4 linked regions of the Danio rerio genome follow. The main gene of each other region encodes a partner of the protein of the gene in region 4 in a complex. Links are inferred from orthologs where the notes say so. Each region holds a gene or a part of one and is shown on either strand. Other genes may lie near its edges.

The links.
Region 1: zc3h13 (region 4) and rbm15 share a complex: the UniProt entries of both Homo sapiens proteins name them as parts of the WMM complex. The link is inferred for Danio rerio from reciprocal best matches to the Homo sapiens genes ZC3H13 and RBM15.
Region 2: zc3h13 (region 4) and mettl3 share a complex: the UniProt entries of both Homo sapiens proteins name them as parts of the WMM complex. The link is inferred for Danio rerio from reciprocal best matches to the Homo sapiens genes ZC3H13 and METTL3.
Region 3: the proteins of zc3h13 (region 4) and wtap are in contact, whole or in part, in a cryo-EM structure (PDB 7VF2), measured with the Homo sapiens proteins. The link is inferred for Danio rerio from reciprocal best matches to the Homo sapiens genes ZC3H13 and WTAP. Residues at the interface, in NP_001317494.1 of Homo sapiens: Arg1512, Pro1514, Gly1515, Ala1516, Ala1517, Leu1518, Lys1520, Phe1521; in NP_001257460.1 of Homo sapiens: Asp202, Glu203, Asp206, Phe207, Gln210.

The regions. Positions count from the first base shown.
Region 1 is NC_133183.1:26,684,697-26,688,831, forward strand, and holds the start of rbm15 (RNA-binding protein 15), read right to left. Parts: upstream 2,832-4,135; 5' UTR 2,685-2,831; coding exon 123-2,684; 3' UTR 1-122. UniProt on the Homo sapiens protein: RNA-binding protein that acts as a key regulator of N6-methyladenosine (m6A) methylation of RNAs, thereby regulating different processes, such as hematopoietic cell homeostasis, alternative splicing of mRNAs and X chromosome inactivation mediated by Xist RNA.
Region 2 is NC_133182.1:21,869,969-21,874,097, reverse strand, and holds the start of mettl3 (N(6)-adenosine-methyltransferase subunit METTL3), read left to right. Parts: upstream 1-1,442; 5' UTR 1,443-1,459; exon of another isoform or gene 1,460-1,462; intron 1,463-1,823; exon of another isoform or gene 1,824-2,162; intron 2,163-2,179; exon of another isoform or gene 2,180-2,264; 5' UTR 2,265-2,281; coding exon 2,282-2,384; intron 2,385-3,398; coding exon 3,399-3,586; intron 3,587-4,129. Other genes in the region: pop7 (ribonuclease P protein subunit p20), read right to left, coding at 996-1,442. UniProt on the Homo sapiens protein: The METTL3-METTL14 heterodimer forms a N6-methyltransferase complex that methylates adenosine residues at the N(6) position of some RNAs and regulates various processes such as the circadian clock, differentiation of embryonic and hematopoietic stem cells, cortical neurogenesis, response to DNA damage, differentiation of T-cells and primary miRNA processing.
Region 3 is NC_133195.1:33,717,440-33,721,798, forward strand, and holds the end of wtap (pre-mRNA-splicing regulator WTAP), read right to left. Parts: exon of another isoform or gene 3,638-4,359; intron 2,045-3,637; coding exon 1,890-2,044; intron 1,783-1,889; coding exon 1,118-1,782; 3' UTR 579-1,117; downstream 1-578. UniProt on the Homo sapiens protein: Associated component of the WMM complex, a complex that mediates N6-methyladenosine (m6A) methylation of RNAs, a modification that plays a role in the efficiency of mRNA splicing and RNA processing.
Region 4 is NC_133176.1:33,368,725-33,372,224, reverse strand, and holds part of zc3h13 (zinc finger CCCH domain-containing protein 13), read right to left. Parts: intron 2,246-3,500; coding exon 2,039-2,245; intron 118-2,038; coding exon of another isoform or gene 115-117; coding exon 1-114. UniProt on the Homo sapiens protein: Associated component of the WMM complex, a complex that mediates N6-methyladenosine (m6A) methylation of RNAs, a modification that plays a role in the efficiency of mRNA splicing and RNA processing.

The sequences.
Region 1 (4,135 bases), on a different chromosome or scaffold from region 4:
TGGCAGAGCAGGTAACAACAGCTGCCCTTTACTCTAGTACCACTTCTGCTTTAGAGAGCATGCAATTAAGAGACATTAAGAGAAGCTTGCATTTAACAATACTTTAGTGTGTATTATGACTGTTAAGATGCTCCTCGCACAACGATCATGACCAGGAAGTCCTCTTCTGTTTTGGCAAGAGCTTTCGCAGAAGAATCTAAGAACTGCTGAGAGAAATCACATGGTGGAAATGCGTGCAGGACGCCAGTGTTGTCCTTATCTCTACTGCCGCCGACGGGCAAACTGATGACCCCGGCGGCCTGCTTTTGCTTCAGGTATGAAACCAGGTTGCGGAGAGGCCTCTGCGTGGATGCTGCTGGGTCTGATGATGAAGTCTCCTCAGAGCTGCCTGGAACTGCCAGTAGAACTGCGTAGCCTCCTGGGCCTGCCACTTTGATGCGCCGAGACACCTCGTCGATCTTGGGCTGGTCTAGACGAAGCCGTTGTGTGATGCGCAGCTGAGAGACTTTTCCACCCGTGCTGCCGTCGATGAGAAGGCTGGTGGCGACGCTCAGGTCCCCCTCCAGGAGGTGCATGCTGGCTGGGAAGTTACTGTTCTTGAGGAGCAGCATGCCATTCCAGGCCATGCTCAGCTTCCCCCCTGCGTCCTGTTTTGAAGCTTGGTTGCTTTTGGAGCTGCTTTCGGATCTGTCCCTCTTGGATGCACCTTTAGCTGAATCGCCCGCTTTGCGCTTTCGTTCTGCAGGGCTTGCGCCGATGCTGGACTCAGAGAGGTTGCTGTTGCTTTTGATGCGTTTCTCACCGGGAACTCGGTCCAGGCTGCTGCGGCTCTCTCGTGCTGGGGACACCCGGTCTGCTCTCGCTGGACGCTCAGAGTCACTGAAACGTCCGTCTCGGCTGCTGCCGCCTGGGCTGCCCTCAAGCGACGGGGGTCTGCGACGGCGGGCCGCCCACTCACTGCTGCTGTCAGGCGAACACTCCAGATGTCTGCCGTCCTCCATGAGCCGCCGTTTTCGTGCAGCTTCTCTGCCTGGCAGCTCTCGCTCCAGTGACCAGGCCTCTCGCCGTCGTTCACGCTCTAAGTGTTCAAGGGGCTCAAATGCAGGAGTTCGTACACGTTCACGAATAGTAGGTGCTGGCCACTCAGCCCCAGCATAGAGTTCTCTTTCTCTGAAGTGCAGTGGCGGAGGAGTCCGTTCTCTGACCCTGATGGCTTCAGGGGTGGCACGATGAACGAAAGACTCAGCCATGATTTCATAATGTTGCAGGGGGAGGGGCTGCAAGAACTGTTGTTGGTAGCGATGCTCTGTGTCAGCAAAGTCCACCCTCAGCCTCCTGTCAGGACCACCAAGAGGAAATCCACGCATGTGTGTGCAGGCTGCCTGAGCAGCGTCCAGGCTTTCATACTGAATATAAGCCCAGGTGTCCCCTTTTCTGTAGTCTATAGTCCTAATAGTTCCAAAGCGGTCAAATTCCCGGGCTAATGCAGTCAGAGGCACCCAAGGGCCAAGACCACCCACCCATAGTCTTGTGGTTGGGGTGGCTTTACCATATCCAATTTTTATGGGGTTTCGGCCCACAACTTTCCCAGACATGCTAATTTTAGCTCTGTGAGCCATGTCCAAATTCTCAAATTTAAGGAAGCCATAGGTGCTGCTCTGGCCACGAGTGGGTCTTTTAATGTCCACCTCAGTGATTGTCCCAAATCGTTCAAAAGCCCTCCTCAAATCGTTTTCAGTCACAGTAATATCCAAGTTACCCAAAAACAGTGTGCGGTTGGCTCTCTGGTCGTCCTCTGGAGAGATAAAGTCCTCCTCACGGAAAGGAGCGGCTCGCTCTGCTATGTATGCGGGCCGCGCCCTCGCTTCATAAAAGGCAAACTCTCTTTCTCTTTCCAGCTCTCTGGGCAGAGGCGGGGGTGGGGGAGGAGGAAGCCGACCCAGTGCTAACTGCTGTAACCGGTAGTCCCTGTAGCCCAGGCCGGTTGGAGAGAGCGGCCTCTGAGTATGCAAATGTCTATGGCCTGCAACAACAGAGAAATGATCCTCCTTCACCGGAGAGCGACTCCTCCGCCTGTTCAAGTAAACTGCCTCGATTTTTAAAGGACGGTCGTAGAGCACCAGCCGGCCTCGTGCGTGCTTTGCCGCCCTGGCATCATCCGGTCTCCTAAAGTTGACGAATGCGATTCTCTCGTCGTTCACTCGGCTGATTTTGACGCTCACGTCACCAAATTTTTTGAATTCATGAAAGAGGCCGTCCTCGATTTCCTCGTCACTCAGCTGCGAGCCAAGCTCGCTGATTTTTAAAGTTTTGTACTCACTTTCGTTTGTGGGAAGCGGTGCGCGCGCCTCCCCGCGCGAGTTGGTGCGCGCCGCCTCTAAGGACAGACTCGAGGCGTGATTTTTGCCGCTTGAGCTCGCAACAGGGCTCGTGTAACCGTGGTTATTACCAGTCCGACTGGATACATGTCCGTCAAATTCCCGTCCGTCTCTTTTATCTCCAAGCAGTCCCCGTCGTGCAGAGCCCCCGTCGCTTTTAGACGAACTATTGCCGTTGTTGCTTCCTCCGCCAGAATTCGAGATAACCCCCATTTTCTTACTGGTCGGATGGCTTCCTCCCCTGTCTCGTATATCATCCAAGGCCCTTGAACGTTTTTTCACCGGCGACCGCTCTTTACCTTTCATGTTAGATGTCCTCTGGCTTCACGCGCCTAACAAAACACTTTTTTAACTGTAATGCTACCGCAACGTCAACGAATTTGCACGATAAACTGAATAAATTGTTCAGTGTCCCTGCGGCAAAACAACCGCATACGCCATCTTGTCAAGACTAAAACATGACCCGCCCGTCGACTTTGATTGGTTTGAATCTCTGAGAAACGACAGCGCTATTGGCTGATCCGTCTGTCAATCTAAAGCACTAGTACAGCGCCCAGTCTCGCTGTACACCATTTTAGCTTCAAAAGCCAAATGTTTACTATAGCCACTTTATAAAACACAGAGGTGACATTCAACTAACCACACATATAGTCTTTGAGAACATGTACTGCCAATATTATATTTGCTTCTTAAACCATATTTATTAATCATCTCGATAAATCTACAAAGAGTGCTTTGTATAGGCTATTTTTAAAATTAAACGGTGTTTAACTTTAATAGATGCTAAGAGTCTGAGTTTCACCTACATGTTATTTCTTATAAATTTAAATGAACTGTGCAATCTTTATAAAACGTAAGTAATCCAAATAAAAAAAAACTAAAACATTCTCGTTGTTCACTTGATGTCCAACAGATGGTGGTGTTTGCCTTTCACAGAGGTGAACGGACGTGAAAAAACAGCCTTTTAACCATGTCGGTCAGCTATAGATGAGCATTTTCCATGGGTTTTAGCCATTGGTTTTAGCCTAATAACTGAAATAATTTCTTAACTAAAACAATGCAGATCTCTGATTATATGCCCATGTCTGTGAATTTTTTTTTATGTTAAATTGTAAAAAATAAATAAATAAATAAATAAATAAAAGTAATGTTATTGCCTTTAAATTAGTTAAAATTTATCTTAAAACAATTTAGTGTTTTACAATTTGCATGCTTTACTCATACCCTCAGGGACCATTATAGTTTTAACTTATACAATTATCAATTCAACCATCAAAATTAAAAAAAATTACCCCCAAATTATTATTTTTTTCAATGAAGAAAAATAGGAATATATTTATAGGACAATGCTTTGAACTTAATACAAAAACGTCCAAAACCTTAAATGAGTGATAATAAAACAAAATACAACTATTTTAAAAACTTTATCATGCACATAAACACATTCATCCAATGTTGATTCACCAGAAGACAAATTGAACAGCCAACGTGTCATTTATTTATTTTTTACAATGCACAAACTGCATTCAAAATCAAACACTTTCTTGAGTATTTGAGTAGGCTACATACTTTGAAAACACGCCCTACATAATGAACATAGTATTGTTTGAACAATCTAGAACTACAAGATTAGCCATGTTTTAGTGTCACGTGCCCTACATCTTCAGTTACGTCACTTCACTGGCATTCACAGATCCTCTCATGTTGCCTTATGGAATAGTCCCTTGGAAGCACATTGCAGAATCTCACCAAAAGAA
Region 2 (4,129 bases), on a different chromosome or scaffold from region 4:
ATGCTAAATGCATCCATCATAAACAGAAATGCAATGTGGTCAAAGAGAAATCGATGCCTTTTTTAAGCCAAAAGGGAGCCTAACATGGTACTGGCAAGGCTATTAATTAATTATTAAAATGCATTTATTTTTCCTATTAAAACTAAGATAGATTTGATGAAAATGTTTAAATGTGTGTGTGTGTGTGTGTATGTATGTATGTATATATATATATATATATATATATATATATATATATATATATATATATATATATATATTTATTTATTTATTTTTATTTTTATTTATTTTTTTTTTTTACCTTTATTATATACTGGTTTGCCATCATTATATTCTTATTAATAGGACAGTTCACCCAAAAGTGAAAATTTACTCACAATCACTTGGTTTCATACCTTTATGAGATTCCTCTTTCTGTTGAACATTAAAGAAGATATTTTGAAAAATGTTATAATGTTGTAACTATCGACTTCCAAAGTAGAAATCAAACACTATGGAAGTCAATGGTCACAGTTTTGTAAATTTTCTTCTTATTTCTTGTTCAACAGAAACAAAAACTCAAACAAGTTTCTGACAGGTAAAGGGATGAAGAAAATTATGAGAGAATTTTCAGTTTTGGGTGAACTATCCCTTTTATAAAATTAATAATAATAATATCTAAAATATATTGTTGTCTTAATATGCATACACATGCAGGAAGATACAATCAACAAAGTGTTGGTGGGGCTGTTTACTTTGCATTTAAGCTGTTTACTTTCCATTTAAGTTTACTATACACAAGAACACAAATACATAGTAGAAAAAAATACATATGGCACATTTCTTTCTTGTTTTTCAAATAAAACATTCAATAACACAGCAATTAATTAAAAAAAAAGTCTTGAAGCAGAAAAAAATCATAAATAATGCATCACTTTAAAAAACTTCTACATGCCACTAACGTCATACAATTGTTCATGAAGCCCTCATTCATTATATTGACACTGAAGCTGAAACTACGGATTGGGGTAAAACACCTTGATATGGATGGCCGAGTTATTCCGGGTACGGGTCAGATGCTCTCCGGCCTCGTCCGGATCTTCAGGCTCCAGGTCGTCGATGAGCTCCACCGTGGAGGTGTTTGCGGCGAGTTGCAGGGCGCCCTGGCTGGACGTCTGGAGCTGCAGAGCGATGTTTATAGCCCGGTTGATGGCCAGTCCCAGGCCGTGGATGCAGATTTCCCTGTGAGCGTCCAGAAGTTTCTGACACCTCGCTAGCTGAGCCTTGAAGTCAGTCTTCATGTTGACATAGACGTCGTTCCTCCGTTTGGGCAGTTTGCGAGGCAGTCGCTTGCGGAGGGTGAACTCTATTGGGTCCATCTCAAGGGTCGAGCCCTCGGGGGCAGCCAGGACTATTGGATTGTGGGGCACAGAAGCGGACACCGGGCTTCGTGGCTCAGCCATGTCGAATCACCTGAAAGGTGCTGCACAAACAGAACATTAATTCGCGTTTTAAAGATAAGACTCGTAACAATTTTACATATAAATGATGTGTGAATTATATTTTAACGACATGTATTTAAACGATTCCCCACAATGAACCGACTCATATGAATCATCCATTCGTGAATGGCTATATACACTGGGCGTGCATTATATTTCAGGGTATAACGCTGTATATTAAATAAGATATTACATCCACATCACATTCGAGAAACATTTTGTTTACGAAGCAGGTTCTCATTTACACAAACATTTCCAATTCATTGCCACTTAAGTTAGTGGATATAGATTTTAATATATAATGTTTGATGTATAATTTGGGATTTTGAGTAAGAGTAGTACCTTGAATTAGAAGAGCTTGTTTCAGATCCGCGCTTAATTCCTGGTAGATAAAGAATCTGCTTATTTACAGATCTGTCTTATCTCTCATTCCGGAAGACGTCTTGCGTACACTGGAAGTAATACACTATGTGATTACAAAATACATACTGTTCTTTTCTTGGTGGGGAAATATCTATTTTTATTTCGTATATCAAATAGTTATAATTGAATCCTAATTAAAAATATATATGAGTTAAAATACGTAAAAATATAAAAGTACCTGTATGAACGAGATCGTTGCTAATCAGTAAATATAGTTAGTGTCTCTTATTTTGAAAATAGAAACAGTTTAGCGGCACGGTGTGTATGGTGGTACAGTCACTCAGCGTTAGTTTGCTAGATGTAATCTAAACTTCATAAAACCCCTGTTTAATCAGTACTGTTTGTTTATTTGCTGTTTAGCTCGTTTAATTTAAGCCATGTCGGACACATGGAGTCACATCCAGGCGCACAAAAAGCAGCTGGATTCACTACGAGAGAGGCTGCAGAGGAGAAGAAAAGACCCAACTCAACTGGGCACTGGTGTGTTGAGTAATTTTACATTATCTGATATCTGAAAAATAAAATGTGTATTTTTAACTGTTTGTGTGATATGTAAAAACAAAGAAGACAGTTTTATGATTTTTATTATCATATCACTTTTTAAATGTATTAAAAATTGTAAAACATCCAGGGCATATCTTTATCGTTAACAATAAAATAAGAGATAATGATGATATGTACAGGCAACGTCGTGAGTTGTATGCTCAAGCAAATATGTAGGTGAGAGAACGTTATGTATTAATAACAGGTTAAGATAAGTCCCTTTAGAGCAAATTGTAATTGTTTTTATACAGCTCTTTTGTGGTTTTACGTTTAGCTGAAAGAGTCTCCTTAAGCTGCAGGTTGTGTAAAATGACTATGAGGATTGTGCTTCATTTTTTTATTATTCTGTTAGGCAAGAGTACAACCATTCCCTGCTTTAATGACAAATGTGATGTATGAATTTATTTGTCAGCTGGAGAACATACATAACAATATGTTGTTGACAAATCCTAGACCTAAAGATGTTCGATATCAGTCCTCTGTGAGAAATATTAGCGTAACTGTTATTTTTAATGTATAATGTATAATTAATGTATCATTTTCAATGTAAAATTATATAACTTACTATTTTCCCAGTGTTGTGTTGCAGCTAGAAGGACATCCCGCTTCATTCCGCTGTGGCGACCCCAAATTAATAAAGGGACTAATCCGAAAAGAAAATGAATGAATGAATAATTTACTGTTTTGCATGTTATTGTGTGTTTTCTTTCTTTTCTTGTTTTATTTGCTAAACATTAAACTACCTTTGTAAACCACGTTTCTGATATAATCAGATTTATTTACTTGAATTCAAATGCTAAACGTGGAAATATCTAATACTATCAGAAGTGTACTATCAAAATGGTAAAAACATTTGAATGTATGCTAAAAGAAAGTTCAGCGGTGTCGAAATAGTGAGTCTATGATGCCACCTGCTGTATGAGAATTTCCTAACAGTTCTTATTTTAACAGAGGTTGGAAGTGTTGAGAGTGGATCTGCAAGAAGTGACAGCCCGGGACCAGCAATTCAGAGTCCTCCACAAGTAGAAGTTGAGCATCCTCCAGACCCAGAGCTAGAGAAGAGGCTGCTGGGATACCTCTCTGAACTGAGCCTTTCCCTGCCAACTGATTCCCTAACGATCACCAACCAGCTAAATACAGTAAGAGCTGTGTGCACTAACAGCTATGAATCTGAACCCATATCTTTTTATTATTATTATTATTATTATTATTATTATTATTAATAATATTATTCCACCCTTTTTTAGAATAACTGTTAGATTGTCAAAAAGTGTTAAAGGAATACTACTCTTTTTTTTTTTTTTTTAATAGACTCATTTAACAAGACCCCAAGAGTTAAACTGTTACGATTTTAATCATAGATATCTATGTGGAGCACTTTTAGCTTAGCTTAGCTTAGCATAGATAATTGAATCAGATTAGACTATTAGCATCTTGCTCAAAAAAAGTATTTTGATTATTTTCCTATTTAAAGCTTGACTCTTCTGTAGTTACATTGTGTAACAAGACTGACAGAAAATGAAAAGTTGCTATTTTTTAGGCTTATTAGTCTAATAAATAGCATTCTGGCATAACAATTAACAAACTTTACTGTTACTTTTATCAATAGTGCTGTGTAATGTCATTGCGCCTGCTGCGTCCATGGTACGACAGTAAAATTCTTTTGATTATTATGGCCGAAT
Region 3 (4,359 bases), on a different chromosome or scaffold from region 4:
TCGTCGTGCAGATCACCTTGTTTTGTTCTTCATTCATGTAACTTAACCATACAGGACATACAACTTTCTACTGTAACCCATAAACAAGCTGCAGATAACAGCTAAAAGGTAGAATGTAACGTTACTTAGTATTGTGAGAAAAGAGCCATAAAGATAGGATATATGAGATTAAGTTTACCTATAGGAGTCCTTGCGGCAGAAACGATAACAATCGCATCCGTGTTCATCTTTGCTGTCCGGTAGGTTGGTTATGTGCTTGGTAGGCTGACTCTGTCTGAATGCAGGTTGTACTGCGGAACGTCCTACTTCTCGGTGTCCCATTCATTTGATAAACGAATACGAAAGCTTTGTCGTCATCAGGACACAAAAGTAGGATGCATTGGTTTTATTTTGAGGTAGCGCCATCTAACGGTGTGGACGGCTAACTAAAACCTAAACCCCAATCTTCTCTACAAATCAGTTGTTTATTAAAATGTCACTTTACAGCAGAACATCAAACTTTTATTTAATTCATTAACTTGATGTTGTTAGACAATCATTTTGACAATTCAAGGCAGAAAAACAAAGCAAGAACAGAGTCATATTAAAACTCTTTATTGATATTTGGTCAGTACATGAAAAGGATCGAAATCAGAATTTAACAAGATACGTCTTGAAAAACTACACACAAGTCAAACAAAAACGTTTTCTCTCGTCATGTAGAGGAACAAAAAAAGTTCAACATCAGGAAACTAAGGACTCTGAACTTGCAGTTTCAAGACTTGAGCATTGATACATCACACATAGCTAAATCATTCAGAGTTCTAGCAAGTGAGCAAATGAACAGTACAGAACCGAGTGTTTATATCACTTCGACAGAGGAAAATGGTTTAAAACTCTCATTAAAAAAAATCAAATATACAAACGCAGTGTTGCTCATTTTATAAACGTAATCAGTTTCGAGCATGTAGCAAATGTACTGAAATAGGTTATGATGGGAAGGAGGGTACAAAACAAAAGTGATGCTTTTGACCACTTCTTGAACAAGAACTAACTGGCCTGAAGTGTGACGGGTTGTTTTGTTTATTTGTTGTGAGTTACTTAAAAAAAAAAAAAATGAACAGAAACTAGAAGAATGTTACAAAACAGACCCTGCAGAGGCATTGGAGGTGTTGGTGGCAACTGCTGCTGCAGATGAGTCCAGGCCATTCTGAGTGCTGTGCCGCGTACCTGCAGTCCTGCTGCCTTTGGGGACAGCAGCGGCCTCGTGGGAGTCAGCATTGGAGTCTGTATCGTTCGAGTGCTGGGTCACTGACGTCTCACTGCCTGTAGGCGAGTCCACGCTCTCATAGCCTGCACTTAGCTGAGTCACGTACCCTTCTCCACCCCTCTGGCTCACTGCATCTTCTGAGTGGTTGGAGAGTTTTGATATGCCATCATGGGTGGGGCTGGAGACAGAGGGTGATGGAGGGTAATCTTCATCTGCACTGCTTGCTTCCCTGTACAAACTAGAGCCAGATGCACCCCTCTGAGATGAGTTCCCATTGGAGGGTCCATTGGACACCCTTCCGCAGTCTTTCCCCACATTTGAACTGGAGGCGTTGGCTGGTTCACTCTGAGTGGAAGGTTCGGAGGCTGTTGAAGGGGAAGTTCTGCTTGGGCCAGCTCCACTAGAAGTGCCTTGGGTTTGGTTCATCTGAGACAGCTGCTGCCTGGTCTCCCTCAGCTGCTGCTGCAGAACCAGGATGGTGCTCTGCATGCCCTCCACCTCCTCATCCAGCTGAATGATGAAGTCATTCAGCTCTGGACCACAAAAATACATGGGTAAAAAAAGAGAACACACAAAGATGAGTGGAGATCTGCTCAAAACAATCCAGAATGGAGTTGACCAAAGAAAGACTTTCGCTCACCATCTTGGCTGCTTTTGAGCTCTTCGCTGTACTTCTTCTGCAAGGCAAGCTCGGCCTCCAACTGGGCTATGCGCCCTTGGGAAAGCTGCCTACCCAACTCCTGATTCTCCTGGATCAGCATGCGACATTTCGCCATCAGCTTCTTACCAGTCTGGCTGCAAGGGAAACAAGTCTAACATCACATCGTGAACATGGCCACAGGGTCAACACAAGTGACCATTGCATTTACAAACTAGAAGGTAACAACCAGAAATAGCTTCCAACTCTCCAATGGCCACACTGGTCTTCGGACTGGTAAATATAGTTGACCATTAGAGTATGTTTACAAGCACTAATGAAAACAGCTTGGTATTCTTAAGAAAGTCAACATGATTTAACATTGGCAGAATGCTAGCAGAGATTGTGTCTTATGTAGTCATGTAAATGCATAGGCAGCTTTTTGAAGAGTGCATGGAAAAAGATCAGGCAGCCAAATAAATGCTAATCGTGCCACAGGTATATGCTGCTTTGACAAAACATGTCAGCACAATGATACTTTCACAAATCTTTCGCAATAAGCAGTTTCCTGGTGTGCATGTAAACATACTCAACAACAATCAAGAAAATCAAGTAACAGTTTAAACAATACTGGGAAAAGATGCATGAACATTTGGCAGACCAAATCAAGTAAACCAACAAGTGCAATACATCTGAACGCATCTAACAGGATAGTACTCCAGGTAATTGACCATGGTACAAAACCAATTAGCAATTTCCATTTCAGTGACTATTAGTACCTACCTGTTAATCTAAAAGTAGCTACGAGCTACCAACAATATCTGCATCAGTTGATTAAAAAAATGACTGGTTCTATACTACATGACAAAGAGTCTTGACAGTAGGCAGATCAATTTCTTATCACTGCAAAATATTACAAAGATGCAATAAAGTTGCATGGCCAGAGCGCTTCATTTAAATTAGCAGCACCTTTAACCTATTTCCAGTAAAAAACTTGGCAAAGATTATACTGATATGTTGATGTTTTCTTTAGTATTAGAATATACTTGAGTGCTTTTCTGCCAGATACAGCAGTAACACTACTGTCCTTAAACAATAAGACTTAAACTCTCTTCAGAACGAATGCTCACATTTTACATTTAAGAGCAGTTTGAGATCAAATGTAACAACAATCAAATACAAACAATTTCCTTAAACCAATTCAGCAACTTTTATGGGAATCCTACAACTAACTTCCAATGACAACCGCTTAATTCTTTATGCCACTTTAGAGCAGTCAATATTTCAAAAGACTTTTGACTAAATATTTTCAACTACTTTTGATTCACTCAGATAGGAAATCCAACAAAGTTGAAGTGTAAGATTTTGCTAGAACATTTCTAATGAGCAAAATACCTGCAAAAAATTTGTGACCTGAGAGAAAAAAAAAAAGAAAATTAAACTTTCACTGGATGACCGAAAAATAAAAAGTGGATTAGAAAGGTACACAAGTTAAAATACAAATGATCATACACAGACATTTGAACATTGAATAGCTGTACTATTCACACATATTACTATCACACATGGCACATTTGCATTCACATCGAAAAGAACAATTATATTCGCATCCACAGCAGTGCAACAGCCAATTTTAAATAAATTCAATTCGTTTGGACCACTCTACTGTGAATGCAAGGAGTGTTTCCAGAGCAAAAACAAAGTATAATATTACGAACACAAAAAAAGATAAAAGGTTTAAGACACTGTACCGTATGTCGCACCTGTGAGATGAACATATATGAAAGTCTTTGCAGATCAGAATGTCTGATTCCTCCCCCAAAGTCTTACATCATAAAGGCTTTCTCCCCCAAAGTCTTAAGATTGCTTAACTCCACCCCCATTTCATTGCATCACACTACATTCCCGCCTCCCTGTTTTACATTCTAGATTCTTAACCAGAGTCTCAAAGCATCTATGATGGAGTTTATATGGGGGCATTTTCCTCTGCAACACATTTAGTTGGGCCATGTCATGTTTTAAATGTTCAATCAGTGACCTGCAAACTACAGTTCAACCAGCTCCAGAGCCAACGCTTTGCTCAAGTCTTTCATAGGCCGCCTTATTTGTTACAGGAAGCTTTCTAACACGGGCTGAGTTTCCGACGTGACCACCTCTTCAGGAACAGTCCCGATTCCTTCAGGCTTCTGTACCATGAGGGGTGTGGGGGGGAGAGAAAGAGCTGAAACAAAAGTGTCACCTGACCAAACTGCCGTGTTCTGTTCTGATTTTACATTACGGTATGTGTAATAGCAGGGCAATACAAAAGAAAAATGTCTTTTGTTCTGAGCTTTTTTGCTTTAAAGTCTGAGTCTCGTTGTGAGCAACACATTTCAGTCTTCCCCCACCATTATCTGCACTCCTGCAGAGGAGAAGGTGGGGGTGAATCAGGAAAGTCTTGACTTTTTGTTTGGAGGGGGGAGTTATTTTAGTT
Region 4 (3,500 bases):
TACGATCATCTCGTCTGTCATCCCCTCTGTCATTCCGACGATCATCTCTTCTCTCTTCACGCTCCAGATCCTCGCCACGGTTTTGCTGGCGGACAGGAGAGGGCGCTCTTTGTTCTGCTGAAAAAAAGAAGTTTTATTTTCTCCAAATAAATTTCCATCTACAGTCAAGCAAGGTGAGTTTATTTATTTAGCACGTCATACACAAATTGTAACTTAAGGTGCTTTAAAGCAAGCTTTAAAGAAATAAAAAAGGCCTAAAAGTGCAATCTCTCAGCATTGAACAAAGGCACATTTAGTCAAACATCAGTTTACCGAAAACAAAATAGTTTCATCTAGTATAGTTGCGACTCTGGACTTCTAGTTGTGTAGATAATTATAGTATTTTAGAGATCCACCAACTGCAATTTTTCATGATTGATTCTGTTTTCAGATTTTTCAGTTAGTGTGAACTGCCAATACTGATTTTTGCAATTTCCAATTTTCTTACATAGAAGTATATTTACAATAAAAAAATAAAAAATAAACCAATCATAACAGTTAAAAATAAACATCACAGTTTCCCACAAACTCCATTACAACTAAAAAGTGTTTGGCTGTGTCCGAAACCGCCTTCTACTCAGTTGGTACTGCATTTGAATTTAAACGTACTACTCGGCCATTAGAAAAGTACATTCTATACAGTATGAATGTGAAAAGTATGAATGGAATTCGGACGTACTACATCCGCCATTTTGTCATGGTCACGTGACCTACCTGCGTCAGTTGCGTCGCCTCACTTCCATTCACGTATTATGTGAATTGAATAAATATAAATTTACGCACATTAACACATGTAAATACATAGACTTAATGATGGGCTAAAAACCTGTGCAAATCAGTGGATTTTTGCACGTGCAGATTCCATGTGGGCCTACCCATAACTCATTAAGAGAATAAGCACAACCCTGTTAGACCATGTGCCAGGGCGCAAAGCGTATTTTTCAATTCATAAAATAGCAGAAGTGGATTTGGACACGCCCATAATGATTTTGCCTAGATCATTAAAAAAAGAGCCCTTTATCTCTCTAAACTCAATTATAACTGATGTTTAGCAGAATTCTTTCCTCATGCAGCAATCATTTTAAAAACAGCTCAAAAGTAAAGCGTTTATTATGACTTTAAAAAATGATCAAATTAATCAGGCAAAATTCTTATGCTGCATTCACACTAGACGCCGAAGAAGCGACAAGCACAAGTGATTTAAATGTCAAGTCAACAAAAAGACTGCGGTGCGATACACGTGAATGAGTGCGCGCGAATGACGCAACTAGCGGCATGCTTATCATGTAGCGCCTGCTGTTGGTGTCTTGGGGGAAAATCCTCCTGCCAACACAAGACAACAGTTCATCATAGTGGGCACGGCTCAGTGGGAAACACCGCTGAAAGCTTCCATCATCCAGGTATAGTTTCTAAAGGGGTTTATGAACTCACAGAGCTGGGGGCACCTCTGAAAGGATCTAATGGACTCAGACACAGCGAATCTATGCTGTTTTTCAGCCAACATAAAGCACATAAAGACAGTTATACTTTCAATAAAATCCATGTCATTTAGCAATGAAGCTAGTGTCACCAGGCAGATAGAAGCCCTACCCACGATGCGAATCGACATCTGTTGTGAAGCAGATTTAACATGCGAATGAAGTGGATTTGACGCACGAATAAAGAGAGTAAATTCAAAAAGTTCACACATCTATTTACACGTGAATAATGCAATTTATCTGCGTGTGTCACGTCTGGTGTGAACACAGTCTGAATAGTTTATTTAGATGAAGGTGTTGCACCAAATGTTTTTATGGTTGCTGTGGCTGCAAATCGTGAACATAGAGCCACATTCACACCTTGGCTGGTCAAACTGTGCATCTTTATTTGCACAAGAAAACAACAACGATTCAAGCAATTCAACATCCAAGACTACACTGTAAATGATTATGTGTTCTATAATTAGCAGCAGTAAGCTGATTGCAATTAATAATAAAAAGTACATCACTTGACTAGTCACCTCGTTCTCTGTTGTCACGGCGATCTCTCTCATTATGTGCTCCCCGTCGTTCATCTCTGGGCTGCTCTCCTCTCGGTCGGTCATCATAGCGATCGCGATCAGTGTTCCTCTCTGTGCTCCTCTCTCTCAGACCACTGCTACGTGACTCCCAGCTGTCGTGTCCACTAGCACTGCTATTGTCAGCCTGTGATGCTCTACTACCACGAGCTGAAATGGAAACATATGATTAATTTATTTATAAATTAACTCAAATATTTTAAAGAATATGACACATTTTTACACAAAATAAAATTATTCAGAGGAGATTCCTTGGATTTATGTATTTATTTACGTTAAGTGGCTGTAATCAATTTATATGGGCTGAATTTAAACAAACAAATTAATTTGAATTTTATTACACTTAATTTGTTTGTTTAAATTCAAAACAAATTAATTTTTGCAATAGTTTTGCAGACGTAAATTTTTTCAGTGTACTTTACTGCAGCATTATTGTGCATAAAACTGGAAAAGTAACAGTTCACAGCTAAAATGTGTAACAAATTAAATGTATTACATAAACCCGAGAAATTAATTATAGCGCTGTTATTGTGAGCTTTAATATATATCCAACTTCCTGCACTAAAGCACACCATACCAGTCAACCTTCCCGTTTTTCCTGTATTTTACAATTCTTTCCCGCTATCATCCTGTAAATATATATTTTTTACCATATTTCTCCCATTTTTCAATCTTTCTATGAAGGATGGCCAATCCTCCATATTCGCAACCCATACCGCCAAACCACCAGGGATCGCCCCTTGCTCTTAAATGTAAATCTGTTCTGTACTTTCATTTTATTTAGGCATAAAAACACTTTGAAATAAATATAAATAGGCAAAATTCCCTTCCTTTCCATTACAGGCACCGTTGCCCCTCCTCAAAAAGACAGTTCATGTATTGGTGCTTGACTGTCAGACACTCCATAGTGATAAATAGATGACGTTTCCCAAACACATTTTGTACACTCGATTTGAAGCAGAGCAAAGGTGGACACTCTGGGTTTTGGGTGCGTGTTTGAACTGACATAAATACATAATAATAATAATTATAATAATAATAATAACAACAACAACAACATCTAAATGTGCCAATCTTGGTGGGTTCTTTTAAACACAACACATTTTGTCTTAAATGAGTATAAACAGTTAGGAAAGCAATGGCATGCTTTCATAAGATGTGTGCATTTTTACAGTGGCACCTCTGTAAATGTAATCAAATAAAAAACAAAAAACAAATAAGAGATTCATTCACGGCTCTTAAATCAACGTTTAAATTATACAGTGAAGAAAAGGTTAATGAGACTTGATAACTTGATTGAATTTCTTTAGAATAGCTATTATTTTTAATAGGCTAAACTGTTTGCTAATTTATTAGCAGCTTTTTCTAATCTATACTAATTATTCTATCCTTTGTTAATAATAAT